2 linked regions of the Alligator mississippiensis genome follow. The main gene of each other region encodes a partner of the protein of the gene in region 2 in a complex. Links are inferred from orthologs where the notes say so. Each region holds a gene or a part of one and is shown on either strand. Other genes may lie near its edges. The genes, in order: PTH and PTH1R.

Evidence for each region.
Region 1: the proteins of PTH1R (region 2) and PTH are in contact, whole or in part, in a cryo-EM structure (PDB 9JR3), measured with the Homo sapiens proteins. The link is inferred for Alligator mississippiensis from reciprocal best matches to the Homo sapiens genes PTH1R and PTH. Residues at the interface, in NP_000307.1 of Homo sapiens: Val31, Met32, Thr33, Lys34, Glu35, Gln37, Ile38, Leu41, Glu111, Trp112, Asp113, His114, Ile115, Ile135, Tyr136, Asp137, Phe138, Arg146, Arg162, Thr163, Ala165, Tyr167, Val171, Leu174, Thr175, Glu177, Glu180, Arg181, Phe184, Leu187; in NP_000306.1 of Homo sapiens: Ser32, Val33, Ser34, Glu35, Ile36, Gln37, Leu38, Met39, His40, Asn41, Leu42, Gly43, Lys44, His45, Leu46, Asn47, Glu50, Arg51, Val52, Glu53, Trp54, Leu55, Arg56, Lys58, Leu59, Asp61, Val62, His63, Asn64, Phe65.

The regions. Positions count from the first base shown.
Region 1 is NC_081825.1:202,020,746-202,027,365, reverse strand, and holds PTH (parathyroid hormone), read left to right. Parts: upstream 1-4,720; coding exon 4,721-4,806; intron 4,807-5,178; coding exon 5,179-5,452; downstream 5,453-6,620. UniProt on the Homo sapiens protein: Parathyroid hormone elevates calcium level by dissolving the salts in bone and preventing their renal excretion. Acts by binding to its receptor, PTH1R, activating G protein-coupled receptor signaling.
Region 2 is NC_081828.1:216,069,078-216,078,333, reverse strand, and holds the start of PTH1R (parathyroid hormone/parathyroid hormone-related peptide receptor), read right to left. Parts: upstream 3,375-9,256; 5' UTR 2,937-3,374; coding exon 2,862-2,936; intron 1-2,861.

The sequences.
Region 1 (6,620 bases), on a different chromosome or scaffold from region 2:
GCTTCATTTTGAATTTCGCACAAGGTTTTTTTTCTCTCTTTTTCATCTTTAACTGGAATTAACTTGATTAAAACTTCAGCTCGCTGTGGTAACCCAAGAGACACCTAAGGTTACGTCACACCGCTTACATAAATGACCAAACATCCTGCTGAGGCATTTGAAAAGCCACAAATCTTGTCAATCAAATGAAGATCTAAAGAGTTTACTGACTGTCATTTTGGATCTGCATTGTGTCAAGACAGAAACATTCCTCAGACACATTTAGAAAGGTTGCCTCACCACAGTCAGCCAGTGTGTCACCATCCATCCTCCTCTTCCCTCAGCTCAGAATTCTAGTAATATTCTCCTAGGACAAGGTGATTACAATGCAGTTTAGCTGAGAGCTCCTACCAATACAAAGGATGAAATTCTAACACTGTCACTAAAACAGAAGTATGTCATTTAAATATTTTAACCTTAATTAGATTTGTAATGCATTAGAAATCTCCAGGGGTATAATTTCATGGAGATGCATATTTAATTTATGAAAATGTATTTGAATTATCTAGGGAGCAATCCAGCAGGGTGCTGTGCTTTTCTAGCTTTGTTGCAGTAATGCACTGAGCATGTGCTTAATTTTAAGTCTGTGAATGATCTCACTCAAAATAACCTTATCTCTTGCTAAAATGAATATAATTCAGAAAGGGTATTGGAGTCTGTAATTTAAAAATGTTATCATCATCCATCTCCCAAACTGAAAAAAATCTATCTTGCAGGTAATAAGAGTCTAATGATATGCAGTGACACAAATACAGGGCAAGGTGGCATTCCTCCTGAAAATGGAATAATGCAAGGTATCATCGTGCACAGTTAGTTAAAGTATCCATTCAATCAATACGTGAAGGTCAGGGAAGGGTAGTTCTGTGCTTGATCAAGCTCTTCAGAAGAAAAGGTTGTGGTCAGCTCTTCCTTCCCACAGAGTGACTCCAGCATCATCACGCCCCATCCTCCCCTTCTGAAGTGCCATTGTCTGTTGCCTACAGCTACAAAGTCTGATGTAATGGATAAGATATTACTGCAATGCACTTTGGAGTGCATCTCTGTATTGTTTCCTTTCTAAGGTCAGTAATAGACAATTTAAATAAAGCAGAATTACTCTGTTTTTACCTGTGCACAAGGTATGTTACATAGCCGTTCCACTCCCTTTGCATAGTTTCATAAACTGTAGCAGACATTTGATATTTCAAAGAACTGGAAACAACTCATAAAATAACAGCCCAGTCATATTCTCCTAAGAATAACCTCTCATTTTTTTTGCACCTATTGACAATGATTTCTCAGAACCAAATAACTTGCTATTCATGTGCCTCCTGTACAAAAGAATATTACCCCCTAGTTTAAAAAAGCTCATTATTAGTGAAGAAGGATATTTTTTAAACTTTCAGAACACAACAGCTATTTCTAGAACAAAATTTGAGCAGATATGACCTTTTACCAAGTTCTGCGCAGTGACAATGGAATAAAGCATTTATTCATAGAGCAACATTGCTCTTTGAAGAAGTTGAAAAAGCTGTTGCCTAACAGAACAGGGAGTGTTAAGAGTAGCTCTAGGTTCTATTCACAGTTCTGCTGTTGACTGACTTGGATGAGTCTAAACCTTTGTCACTCATCTTACCTCTATGTAAAATGGGGATAACAACATGTACTTCCCCTTCTGGCATGTGCTAAATCCTCTGATGACAGTTGATACGTGAGCATAAAGTCCAAACTAATAAATAAAACTCAGTTTGTAAAATACTCTTAACTATGTAACATTTCAGCTATTCCTTCTCATCTTTGTTTGCTTTCAAATATTATTTCCTCAACACAGTGTAACAAAAGTCTTCCTTCGCCATGTAAACCATATTTTGATTTTCTTAAAAATCCATAAGAAGTGATGGTGGTCTTATGATTTTTCTTCTCCAAATAAAACACACACAAATGTCCCTAGATTTGGCAAGCTGCTATAAATAAAGTATGAGCTGAAAATCAATAGGAAAGCTTGCAAGATCAAGTCTTTCAATGGTTCAACAAAAGCTCAAGTCCTGCCATGAAAGCCATGCTAATGGATTTCTCTCCCTCCATGGAGCACTGTGGAAATAGTGGCACTCCAAGTGAGTGCCTGGTTTCCCCTTATACGGTGATCTTTGCAGAAACGGGCCCTAAGAAGGTTTTTCAGATGGTCTGATCCTGGAGCCTCACTCACAAGAGTAGTCCCACTTGTTGGTAAATAAGCTGAGCTGTTCTCCTCAGTGAGGTTTTAAGAATAGGACCCTTTCTTTACAATATCTCTTCTGTAGTTCTACAACAAAATAAGAATATATACAACTTATGAAACAGCATGGTACTGCTGCTTAATACATACGCTGTAGGATCCTACCTTGCTTTCCTGGACTTCATCATTGAACCCTGAAGTGTCTGAAGTTATATAGAGAGGGTGAGATAAAGTTAGTCTTTAATATATAATATACATGTATCTATGTATATATTCATGTTAATGCTAAAATTTTATCAAAGTCTACATTGATTTAAGGTTCTTGGCAATATTTTTTAATTTTCTAAAAAATGGTATTTAATCAAGACCATGACCCAAATTCAGCAACTCTGTGGAACTACTCTCATGATTCAAGTTATAAATGTGATTAAGTACTCTGCTGAACAGGGGCCATGCTATCCAATTGAAATGATCTGTCCTCATAATTGTTACTTTGTTAGAAAGGTAAGGAATAAAAAGAATCAGCATTCCTTTTGTAAAATTAAAAAAGTGTTTCTAGTAGAAATGGCAATTTAGCTAGTTAAAAATAGCTGCGTAAATATTTCATCCATTTTACTATTTTTAATCTGTTCTATTTTGCAACAGGTGCATTCAAAGCAATTTTCAATATTGAACTGAAATTATCTTTTGAAAATACTTAGTTTTTCTTTTTAGAGAATAACGTAACAATCTGGAATAAGATATTTAGGGTCAAAATTGAATGGGTCTTGTTTAGTAAAGGCTCCTGTAACATGGGATTTACTTCATATGGTCATTGTACTCTGCTTTAAAAGGTTACTGTGTTTAGTCATCTGTGGAGTCATTAACATTTAAAGTTGATCAATAAATTCAGTCATTGATAATTGTCTTACTTGCATTTTCTTCCTAACCCAAAATCAGATTCCCCAAAAGTCAAACCTCTTCAGGGTTACCCAGGATACTTTCTTTTATCTTAAACCTTTCTTTTCTCTTTCTTTAAATGCGCAATTAACAAAACCATAAGAGGGTGGGTACATGAGGGTCAGGGGGTGTGTGCTGGGAGTGACATCAACTGAGACAATAAAAGGGCTTCTTAGTTACTTAGAAGTTCTATTTTAAAGTTACATTTAAGGGGTCCACTAGACCAATTCAGTAGTCTTTAAATATACTCGACTCCAAAGACAGTCAGCTGCTGACATATCTGAAACAGAGACCTGTTTAAGATATTACTTGGTAAGTATGCTATATTTTCTTTTATTTTACACAAGTGATTTTATTTCAAAAGATATTTCAGGCTGCACACTTTTAGTCTGTTTCTGATTATGTTAAACATATTGAATGAAAGTAAAATTATACTTTTTATGGTTGTTAACAATAGGCTATGAAATTATGAATAGTAGTATACATATATGCATATATGTACATGGAAATATACATATATATATGTATATGTATGTGTATATATATATATATATATATATATATATATATTTCCATGATTAAAATGAAACATCACTATATATATATTGTGATGTTTCATTTTGATCATGGAAAAATGTGGATTTGGGGTTACTCTTTTAATCCAAAAATTGGGGATTTTTTTCAGAGAAAACCAGGATCCCTACTGATTTCTATCCCACTTACATAAGTCAAAATGGGGAATAATACCACTGTATTCAGTAGAATTATACCAGTGTGAAACTGGCTTAGAGTAAAATCAAATTCTTAGTTCTGTCAGGAAATTCAGAAAATGCAACTCACTGGGTGCATCTAACACCAGACGCTTACTGTGCATGAGCCTAATAACACTGTGCAGTAGCATGTCACAGCAAAAACCATGCTAATAGCCTACTGTGCAGTGCTATTAGGCTACTGCACAGTAAATGTCACTAAATAACCGTGCACCAATGCTACTGCACAGTAACTCTAGGTACTGTGCATTTAGTACTTTATTAAAGAAGTACTAAACTAAATGCGCAGTATCTAAGGCTCATTAATGAACATATAAACATGCCTACTGAGAAACAGGAAACATAAAAGAATGCTACCGTGGGCATCATGGATGTACAGAAGTATTTCAAAGTACTTAAAAATATCTTTTCAATGAGATAGAAATGAATAATAAATCATAACTGTAATATTTTGCAACTAGTGATGCTTTGCATCCAAAGATGTTAAGAGTTAGGTTAGTATTATTACCACATGATAAATGGGGAAATTGAAGCTCACAGAAGGTACTAGACTTGCCAAAGTCACTGGCAAAATTAAGAATAGAAGTCAGTTCTTCACAATCCTAAATCCCTTATTCTAGTCATTACACATGAAAAACATTTCTCAGTCACTTTCTCAATATGCCTGCCTTTAAAACTTTGCCCTATGTTACCCAAATTGCTCCCTTTGCTTAATTAGTTGGAAATTATTTGAAACAGATTCATCAATTTTTGTCTTTCTTTCTGTCTTACAGCTAACATGATTTCTATTAAAGATATGACCAAGATTGCTATCATTTTATATGCAATTTGTTTCTTTACAAAGTCTGATGGAAGATCAGTGACGTAAGTATATAGTCATACATTTTTGAGCTTGGAGATGTTTTTAGCAACATACTTTATTTTCATGGTATTGATCAATTACATAAATACAATTATAATCCAAATAAATGATGGCAGTACCCAATACTTACACAATACAGACTAGACTGTTTCAAACTTCTGAGCCTCCTCACACTAATAAATCTGCTACTAATTAAATCATCATTTTTCGTTGTGCCAGATAACAACATCCCTTATTGAGTAAAAGGCCAGGTTCTGCAGCTGCATCTTGCACTGCATTGTATCCCAAAAGTTTCCAATCCAGGGCTTTGATAGAGATCAAGAATTCAGGGGAGGACCATTAAGAGGCTGTTCCGTTGTTATTCTTTCCTACAGGAAGCGGTCAGTGAGTGAGATGCAACTGATGCACAACCTGGGGGAACACCTGCATACTGTGGAGAGACAGGACTGGCTTCAGTTAAAACTGCAAGATGTGCACAGTGCACCTGAAGCGCTGGTGGATGGTAGGCCCCGAAAGAAGGATGATGTCCTGGGAGAGGTCCGAAGACGGAGGCTCCTCCCTGAGCACCTGCGGGCAGCCGTGCAAAAGAAACCCATTGATTTGGACAACGCTTATATGGATGTACTCTTCAAAACTAAATCACAGTGAAAACAGCCATAGCATTGTGTCTGTCCAAGCAAACTCTTGTCTGTAAGTCACTGAGTAAACAGGGCATTTTATTCTTATTTATTTGAATTACAGTAAAGCCTAGAGGCCCCAGGCAAGACTGCAACTCCACTGAGCAACGTAGTGCACAAACATATATCAAGAGATGTTCATAGCTTGCTCATCTCCACTGCTGCTAATTTCTGAATTTCTCTTCAATTGTGTCTCTTTTATTTTCAACATTTAATCCTTATATTTGAAAAAGACAAGCAAGCAATGAGTTGAAATATAAACAGTTCTAAAAAAGGCGAGGCTAAAAAAATAATTTAGGGCAGGATTCTGCAACTCTTACATGGAAAGTGTCTTATCTGAGGGGAATCACTGAGTCTACCCAGAGCGTATAGGTAGCTAATCAACATGACAAAAGGTGGCACACTATCTCCATAATAAATAGGGCACTAATTTTGTCAAGGCTTAAATACAGGCCTACCTTGGTGCACGTTGAGCTGTCACGTTGACGTCTCTACTCATAGGGCATAAATTAATCCAAAAATTGGTAAAGGTTAGTTACACATAAAAATAAAACAGAGCTTTAAGTTTAAAAATAGCAAAAACAAAATACACTATAAAGATAGGAAAACCAAAACAGTTTAATAATTAAAATAGGAAGGGCTAAAATTAAAACTAACTCCATAAACAGCAAGAGAGATAAGTTTTAAATAAAATTAAAATATTGAAGTGACAGTAAAAGATAACAGGCTAAGAGTAACAGCATACACCAAACAGGCAGAGGTGATGGCATGACTCTAAGCATGGGGCTAAGTAAATAAAAATGGAGATTGTTATGGATCAAATAATAATTAATAATCAAATAATTCAAATTAAAACAAATACCTTATAACATATCTTTTTTCCCTCATCTAGCGTGTTCATTATCTCTACAATTTCTGTATGCCATCTTAGACTCCACACATGACTAATTTATGTATGTGAGACCTGCAACTCTCAGAACCAAAGTGCATGTGTAGGTAGTAGGTATTAACAGGAATATGATATTTGATTGTCAAATTGCTGGGGCAGGAACCATTTGCTTGTGGAAACCATTCTCATACTGTATCAAGGAAGCTGAGACCTAAACAGGATTAAAAAAAAGATTGGATATTCATCTGGA
Region 2 (9,256 bases):
GAGTCTAATAAGAAGGGTGAAGTTGGTCTAATAAGAAATTGGTCTAATAAGAAACACCTGAAGAAGGCTGTTTGTGCCCAAAAGCTTGCAAAGAACAATTTTTTTCCCAACTCCTTAGTGGGTGTAATAAAAGCTATATCACATTTCCCCAAAGAACCTGGGTTTATCTTGTGAATCGTGTGTAGGTGTCTGTGCTTCTAACAGTGCGGCACCCTGCAAAGGCTATCACGGCACCCCACAGCACGCTGGTTGCGAATCGCTGATTTAACCCTGCACCTTTCACAAGTCGATCAGCTGCCTTGCCGGGGGGGGGGCTTTTAATTCAGACTTTAAGAAGGGAGCTCCTGTTTGCTCTGCATGGACCTTAAAGATCACCAGTCACATTCAGCACAGTATGGTCTGCTGCAGATACCCCTTGTCTGCATATCCTCCGCTGTTACGCGGCAGGGCTGTTGCTCACCACCCCAGAAGCGAACGCATTGTAAGAGCAGGCTGCCAAATACACTGGGATCCTGCTGTATCTATCCAGCTACCTCCAGGGGCTCTGCTATGGGGTTTGAGCAGCACCATATGCTCTCTACTGGGTCAGTGCCATGCACAGCTGGTACTTTTCATGTGCAAAGCGGGAAGGTTAAAAAGCAGGATCCTGCCCCAGCTCCAGTTTGGCTGCATACTGCAGGTTGCAATGCAGCAGCGTGACAAATGCTTTAAGCTTCAGGATCATGACCCTCTCTTTCCTCCTTGGCAAAAGCCAAAGCCGTGGGGAATTTCACCAGATGTGAACAGTTTGCAACCCCTTTGACAACCTTACTGACCATCCCTGGCAGATCAATCACTTTTTGACACCCTTTTCTAGGAAGGAACTACAGAAATGATCCCTAATAGCCTAGTATAAGTGTACTTCACTGCCAGGGATTCTGCTGCCTAATTAAAATGAACGGTGTTAGATGAGCACAACCTTACCAAACCCCAGGGCTGAATTAGTACCTCTGGGTGCAAACGTGAATGCCGACAACACAACGCACTAGGCAATGAGCAGCTCCCTGCAAGTGATTCCTTTGCTTTTGCTGGTCTTACTCCTGCTCCAAACACAACCCGGTTCATCCTTCCCCCGAGCCCTGAAGTCACTCACAGTGCAATGCATGTATCTGAGCAGCCCTCCCCTGCTGCGAAGCAAATCCCAGAGATTAAGATGTGCAGTTGTCTATTTGCTGAGATTTTTACTGGCTCTGTGAATAATCTGCAGGTGAAATGTCCATTACAAGGACATGGCAACTGAGACAGCCTCTCTGTGCGTGTCGCCTGTGGTCCCACAGATATTCCCTGTGCTTTCTGCTAGTAGCAGGGACCCGCCGTGGAAAGGGGAGACTAGAAGCAAGGAAGTGGGTAGGACCCTGCATCCTCCCCTATCTATCCTTGCTGCTGGTATTTGGGGAATTCAGCCTGAATAATTGCAGGGCACCAAGATCCCACCAACGCCCATTGAAGTGGGGATTTTGCCATCGACTCTGAGAGAAGCAGGTCTGAGCAGCGCAGGGATAGCAGGTGTTGCATATTCAACTGCAGTATACTATCATCCAAAGGGGTCTGGATGTCACAGAGTGGGGTAATTTGGGTGCAGCTAGATGCTGGACATGAGGGGTCGGGAAGAAACATCCTTAGCTATCGCTATTGCAAACTCCCCCCACATCAGCACATCTCCTGGAGTGGACCCTGCTTTTTCTTGCCTATACACAGTGTATCCCAGACATGACGCCAGAGAAGTCTGCCCATAGCCAGAACATCTGGGTGGTGGTGAGTTTTATAGACTGCTCTTTCTCCTTGTCTAACAAGGAGCCTTTTAATTGACAACACCCTGCCACATGTCCTAAAAACTGGAGTGCTGCATTGTTTCGCATTTCCCCAAGCAACAGGCCTATCTCCGACACGCACAAAACTCAGCGGGAACTTTGCTTGAGTGGAGATGGGAAGATCCCGGGACCTTCCCAACCTGATCTCATGTTTGACGTCTGATCCCTATCCTGAACGGTGACTGTCTCGACTACTGTTCACTCTTGTGCAGCCACAGGGATGTACTGTGATACCCGCAACGGCGGAGAGGGAAAGAAAGGCAGGTGCTCATACAGGAGCACAAGGCAGGGTGGGCTCCTAGGAGGCTTAGGCACAAGTCACCCCTGGCCGCAGAGCTGGGACCTAAATCTCTCATGGCCCCACTTGGGAAGACAACTGCGTCCATGGTGCTTAAGGGCATCTCCAGCCTAGGAAATCTCCCTGTGTACCTACATCCCCATCCACACACAGCCTGAGCTAGTAAAGAGTTAATACTACTTTCATTCTCCGAGTGTAAACGGTATGCTATCCATGCGCTGACTCTGTGAACTGCACAGCGGATCCGGCATGCTACTGTACAGAGCCTGCCAGAGCCCGGAGCAAGGGTTTGCTGAAATTCAGCTCCAATTCGAGTCCGTTAAGATTCAGATCCTCGTCCTGGATGGCAAGGCACAAAACCGTGGCCTCTTGTTAACGGGACAACTTTGGCTAGGGACTGGAGCGGGGCTAGCCCGGAGAATACTTCCAATACCTGGGTTATAAATGTTCTCTCTGTTTTTTGGGAGTGGGAGGGAAAAAAAAAAACAAACCCAAAAAAACTAATGCCAAAGCTTCGGGAAAATCCAGACATTTTCGTTTCATCTCCCAGCCCAGAAGCGGCCAGGCTCCACCGCGAGACACACAACATCAGGCTGAAAAACCCAGCGCTCTGAATCTCCGGGCAGTAAATTACTCATCGAGGAAAGCGCCACGAAACAATTGCTCAAGAAGGAGAAGGGGGAAGAGAGAAGGAGAGCGTTTCAGGCACTTACCAGCGCGTAGACAGAACTTAGCACGGAGCAGCAGAGGATCAAACCCAGGCTGTGATAAACCAGATATGATCCCATAGCCAAGACGCTTAGGGCAGCATCCAAGAAGCTCTCTGGGCAGCTGGGAGGAGGAGAGAAAGCTTCTTGCAGGGATCCGGGCTTGGAGAGGAGTTGTCCTTCCACCGCGACCCCTTCAGAGGTCTGGCCGGATGGCTCTCAACCCAAGAGGCAAATGACAAGCCAGCCCAGTCCTCCTCTTCGCCTTCTCATTGCTGAGCACCTCCAGCCGCTTCATGCATGTAGGCAACGAGTCCATGTGAAAAGGAGCAGGCTTGTGAGTGTGTGTGCATCTGTGTCAGAGCGGAGAAATCACATCCATATGTCAAAACTGCTATTCTGTTTCCTTTTTATGAGGCAGTGGGAAGTTCAAATCATTTCTTTGTCGAATGCAAACACACATAGAGAGAGAGAGGGAGAAATGGGAGGGGTGGGGGGGGGGAGTTGTAAGGGGTGGGGGAAAGGTTTTAACCACTGCTTTATTTTTAGATCCAGTAATTTTATCTTTTAAGGTTTCACAGGGAGGGGGGCGGAAAAAAAAACGCCCCCTTTTTTTTTTTTTTCCCTCTCCCCCTTCAAAGCAAACAAATCACAAGTTTTCTTTTTAAAAAAAAAAGCCTGAAGTTGGAACTATTTTCACTGAGCAATTACGTTTGTGCAAGGAGGGGTGCTGTTGGCTCGGGCTTTTCTATTGCTGCTATATTTCAGTGCATTTCAGCTCCACAATAGGTTTATTCTGCCTGCCTTCTCCAGCTTGCAGCCGGCTCTCCTTGGGAGCAAGATGGATTTTTTCTCCCTCTCTCTCTGCCTCTCTCCCCCCTGTCTGTCTCAAAGGATCTGCAGTTTCAAAAAGCCAATTGAGGAGGGCATGGAGGCGCGGGGCTGAATTTTTTTGCTTTCTTAAAGAGTTGACTTGAGATGTCGCGCTCAAAAAAAAAAAAAAAAGGACCCCCCCCCCCTTTTTTTTTACTGACTGCAGGACATTTTCCGACCTCCTCGCCTTGCCATCTGCAGAAAGGCACCCTCTCTCCTGCACACACACACACACACGCACGCTTCTTGTCCTGTCCCAGAAAGAATAAGCACCCAGATCCCGAAATTAAAAAGAAAGTTGCTGATTCTCACTCGGGCTGGCTGCTGCTGCTGCTTTAGCTCCGCTTAGCAAGAGGAAAATGCTGACAGCCTGTTTACTTCCACCCAGAGCAGAGAGAGGGCATTACCAAAAAATTGCTATGGCACTTTTTGGGGGGGATCTCTCCCAGTTATTCCCTCTGTGGAGCTGCCTCCCTCCAGCATCTACCCTGCAGCTTCAAGCCACCCCCCAAAAAAGAGAAGCACGCTGTTTTTGCAAGCAGCCGCCTCTCGAGTTGTGAGCTAAGACCACCCCCTCTAACCATTCCCCCTTACTCCCAGGATAAAATTTACCAGCGTGTTATTTCCAAGACAGGATCCTTACTCCAGTTTCATTCATAAAGTTTCAAGGAGAAGAAAAAAAAAATCAACACAACTCTCCCCCCCGCCCCACCCCGCGACACACACTTTTTTTTGGCAACGGCGATAGTTTTTGTTTAAGCCAAAAGGGCTCACCAGGCATCCATTGATCAGATCTGTGTTTTCCAGAGGGACTGGGGTAGGGCGCTTAGCTAATCCCTGCTGAAATCATTTGCCAGCGATTGATTTATTCTGGCACAAACAGTGGATTTCTGCTTATTATTATTATTTAAAAGGAGCTTTTGGAGCCTCTATCAAGGTCTTTGTAGAGCAGACAGGGGGGAAAAAACAAGCAGCCTGAAGTTTTCTCCGGGTGGACCTCTGGCCACTTCTCTTTTTGATTTCTTTGAGTGCAAAATCTTTAAGGTTGGCTTGCTTTTTTTTTTTTCACAACCCCCTTTTGGCTGTGAATGGGTGCCTTCAGCTGATTTTATGAAAAGGGGCTCTTTCCAAGGCTAAGGTAGAGAGGGCTTCCTGTAAGAGAGAGGGAGGGAGGGAGAGAGGGAGGGGGAAAAAAAAGTGAAAAAAAAAGTTCAGCTCTGGATGCAACCTCTTCCTCCCCGCTCTGCCTCTCAGCCAGTCTGAGAGGCTCTCAGTGAATGCCTGTAGTTTTAGAGCAGGGAGGCAGGTATAAAAATCAGCATGGCCAGGACCCCATTGGCTGGCCATAGCCACCATGTGATCCTCAGGCAGGGAACCACAGGGTTAGCTGTCCACACCTCCCACCCCACCCCCTTAGCCCGTCCCCCCACCCCCTTCCCACCCCCCTCTTCCCTCCCGTCTCGGACCTTCCCACTCCTTAAGGAGGGAGCTCGGTGCCTTTGCAAGCTCTCGCTGCTGGTTTCAGCGGCTACACATGTCTCCACTTAGGCCGTGCATCTGATTGCAACCCTTCTAGGAGAGGAGTGGGATGGGGGCGAGGGCGAAGAAGGGGTCCCGGCTATAGGCGACGTCGACCATGCACAAAAATCCAGCCCCGACCCCGGCCTGGGAGAGACATTCCTGGGACGGCGGTGCAGGGCAGAAATGGGGTGGATTAAACAAATATGCATGCTGGAGCTTGATGCCCTGGCGGAGAAAACCGCTGCAGCCTGAGGGGCCTGGCTCGCTCCAGAGGGGAGAATCTGGCCCCGGCTTAAATGCTCCAGGCTCCCCCCCACCCACCGCCCCTGGGAAAGTGATAGCGTCTTTGCAGCTAGCCTGCCGAGCCGGAGCTTGTGGCGCTGGACTTCTCCTCTGTGTGTTTGCTCACATATTTTGGACGGCGGGGCCTTGCTCCGTGCCCGCCTTGGCGCAGGGAGACAAACAGGGAGGCATCCACCCGCCGCTTCTTTGCAGAGAGGGTCGCTCTGCTCGGGCCCTGCGGGGCCCCTGGGAATTTAATGATTAAAGACAGAGGCCAGGGAACTGCTGAAGCGGCACCGTGCTAACCGTTCTCTTGCCTCTGCCCTCTCCCTCCATCCGAGGCAGCTAAGGTGGGGAGGCGTGGGCCGCAGAGGCCCCTGAAGGGTTTGGCGCTGATATTTGGGGCCCAGGTTCTGCATGTCTACAGACGGTCACAGTAGCCAGGAGTCAGTGGCCACCCCTACATTGCTAATCTTTCCCGTCCCACGGTTCAGGGCAGCTTGGCGCTTGTTATTTCAGTGCTAAACAGGAGATCAGCCCTGCATGAGAGCCAGGCCTGGCTTTTCCTTGGCTGTGTGGACACAGTTTCAAGCCCTGACAGAGCAGACGAGATGATCCAAACCCATCGGGGTCTTTCCCCTGATTTCCTCTGGGCTGGGGCAGGTTCACAAATGGGACTTGGTTTACCGTGCGCCTGCCTTATGCTACGATGCTTGATCCAGAGAGAAGTGGGGGAAACCAACTGGGAGATCAGGACAGTCAAATACCCAGGTCCATTGCCCTGGTGCTAGGGAGCATCCCTGGGGCAAAGCCAGGGCAAATCAGGTTCACCAGCTGCACCAGGTCGGGGTCACCAGCAAACATGCACGCATGACCCTGACTTCTATCCTAGCTAGTTGCAGCGCCCTGCTCCTTGCAGTGCCTGAGCATCTCAGGCCCTGACTATACACTAAATGTACCTTGCTCTGGAGTGGCATCCTTGAATGCACTGTTACCTCTTAATCCAGAACAGCATTCCTGCATTCACGTGGCACTTCAGGCTGGCTAATTAGCACCGCTGGATCTGTTAGCCCTGTGATTCTCAACCAAGGGCCCCTTGTTAGACTCCAGGGCTCCCTCAGCAAATGCCAGCTCTGAGCTTTCAACCGGTATTTTGACTACAGAAAAGGGTGGTTAACCTGTGGCACCGAGGCCACGAGTAGCACCGGCAGCCTCCGTGCATGGCATGTGACAGATCAGGGTGGGGACAGGCAGCACAGCAGCAGATGGGGCAGGGAACAGAAAGCAGAGCAGCGAATTGGGCCGGGAGCACAAGGAATGGAGCAGAAAGCAGAGCAGCAGCGTGGGGAGGAGATGGGGATCAGTCGGGCACTTGGGGAGTGCTATATATAGGATCTCTGGTTTCACCTGTCAATCATGTTCGTGCACCTAACAGCACTAACACTGCCTTGCACCCCACAGCACCCAGATCTGCTGGCACCCTGGTTGAGAATCACTATGGCAGCTCATCCCCGTGAGAATTAACCCATCACTGACAAGGCTACATGAGGCAACTTCCCTGTTTCTGGTGGCAGAGCCATGCTGCTTCTCACCGTGTCCACAGGTAGTGGATTGGCTTCCCTTTAGGGAAGGTTAGTGGTGAACGAGAGAAGGTTAAATGATGGATAAGCAGTGGCAGCACCACCAGGCTATGGTGGGGACAGCAGATGGCAATGCTCTCCCTCCTGAAAAGCCACATACATCCTTTGATAGTGCTGCGACATGGCAAGTAGAGGTTGCCACTATAATAAGCCTACCCAGCCCCCAGCCATGGATCTACAAATCCTCAATGGCGGAGCAGGTGGAAGAAGATGTTAAAACCTCAACGGCTGCAGAGGTGAACGAAGGCTGCGGCAGAATGAGATCTCCAGTTGTCTTGGTCTCCTTGCCACTGGATCAAAGTCCCATTCTGTCAAGAACTGCGTGGAAGCTGATGTGCAGCAGCTTCATGAAAAAGGAAATCACGCACAGGTATCTCCCATGACAAACCAGAAATCCAGAGCCACCCACCCTGCATACAAACACGTGCCCAAGTTGCAAGAGAGCCTGTCACTTGTGGATTGGCCCTATCAGGCATCTTTGGACCAACAGATAAGGTCATCATGGAAGACAATCCTCCTCGATTGCGAGGGATTACCAGTGATGACTATCCTCATTGGGCAGAGGGGGAATGGCAACCCAGAGAGACAGAGGCCTTGTCTATGCACTGGGGTCCCTGCTGCCATGTCTACCTCGGAAAGGCTAAATGGCGATGCGTCCTAGTGCAGGTGCAGCATCTGCCACCTTTGCTGCCACATCTCTGCAAGTCATGCCTGGTGAGCCACCCACAGCACTGCCCCGTCAGCTGGGGTAATGCCAGCATTGCTATGTCCAAAAGGTGGTGCGCTCTTCCCCTGCCCGTACCTGACCTAGGTAACTCCAACAGAGTTTTGCAGTGTGGACCAGGTCTGAGTTACTTGCTCAAGGGCACGACAGAAGAGTGGGGCAGACTCCAAGATTGAAGCTGGATCTCTGCAGTCCTGGCATAACACCCAGACTGTGGCATGATCCTTCCTGTCCTGGTCATGCATAGTCAGTTGTGTTTGGGGCACTAGAGACATGCTCAAGACATGCTCATGGGTGAGGTTATGATTTCCCCCCTGTGGTTAGTAACAGGATGGATGGATCCGTTCCCCTGAGTGGACTTGCACACTGGTGCAAACAAGAACGACTGTGCATGTGTTTTTGGTCCTGAACACATCTGCACATGACATGATCTGACCTGCATCCCTTCACAGGCCAAAAACGATTGTGCCATGTTGCTGGACTTACATTCACAGTCTGACCAACACAGGGGAACCTACATCCACAGTCCGCACCCGTTACCTGGCTGCCCGCATTCTCCGCCAATTTGTTGCATTCCTATGATCCTATGATCAGTCTTATACCAGGCAAGGAGAGTACGACACAGTTGACCTAAACTAAAGAGAGTTTATTGAACCCTAACAGATACCATTCTATTTAAAACTGAAGTAGCAGTAGCAGTTTAAAAATTTAGGCTTGTAGCTAGTCAAAGCAGATGCTCACCACCCCAAATGTTGTGAATGCAACTTCACTGGGTGATCAGGCCGTGAAGTCTTGTCCAGGGCTCCTGGCTCCCACGTCTGATATCAAAACAGGATCTTGGATCAATGATGGGATCTCTTCAGGCTTTCTTCAAGAGTGTTTCGAAGGGTACATGCCCTCACTTTTTTTATATATTGTATAATTTGCATTTCTTAATACATAAAATTAACTTAAACCTTCCTCCTAATGCATATTAATCATCTTGCTTCTGTTTGCCAAATATGGTTACCTTTAACTGAAATTTTATATTTTGATGTAAACTTTTCATTCCTAGGTGGGGGTAGGTTTTGCTCTGACTGTTCCTTTTTTGCCCAGGTTATATTTATTCAATTTAGCTTTCCAACTTCCTGATTCGTTTTAAGTCAGGGATAGTATTTTCCCATCTGCTCCTTTTACTGGGTGCAAGTCTTGACCACAACTCAAGCAAAGCATGCAGCTTGAGCTGAGCACAAAGGTCAAACCCAGGCCTGAAGGCCTCTGGGTCCCAACACCCTCTAGGAGTGTCTACACATGTGCTTAATGTGCATTAGCTCATTTTAATGAGCACTAAAGCGTCACAAAAAACTGCTTTTTAGCTAATG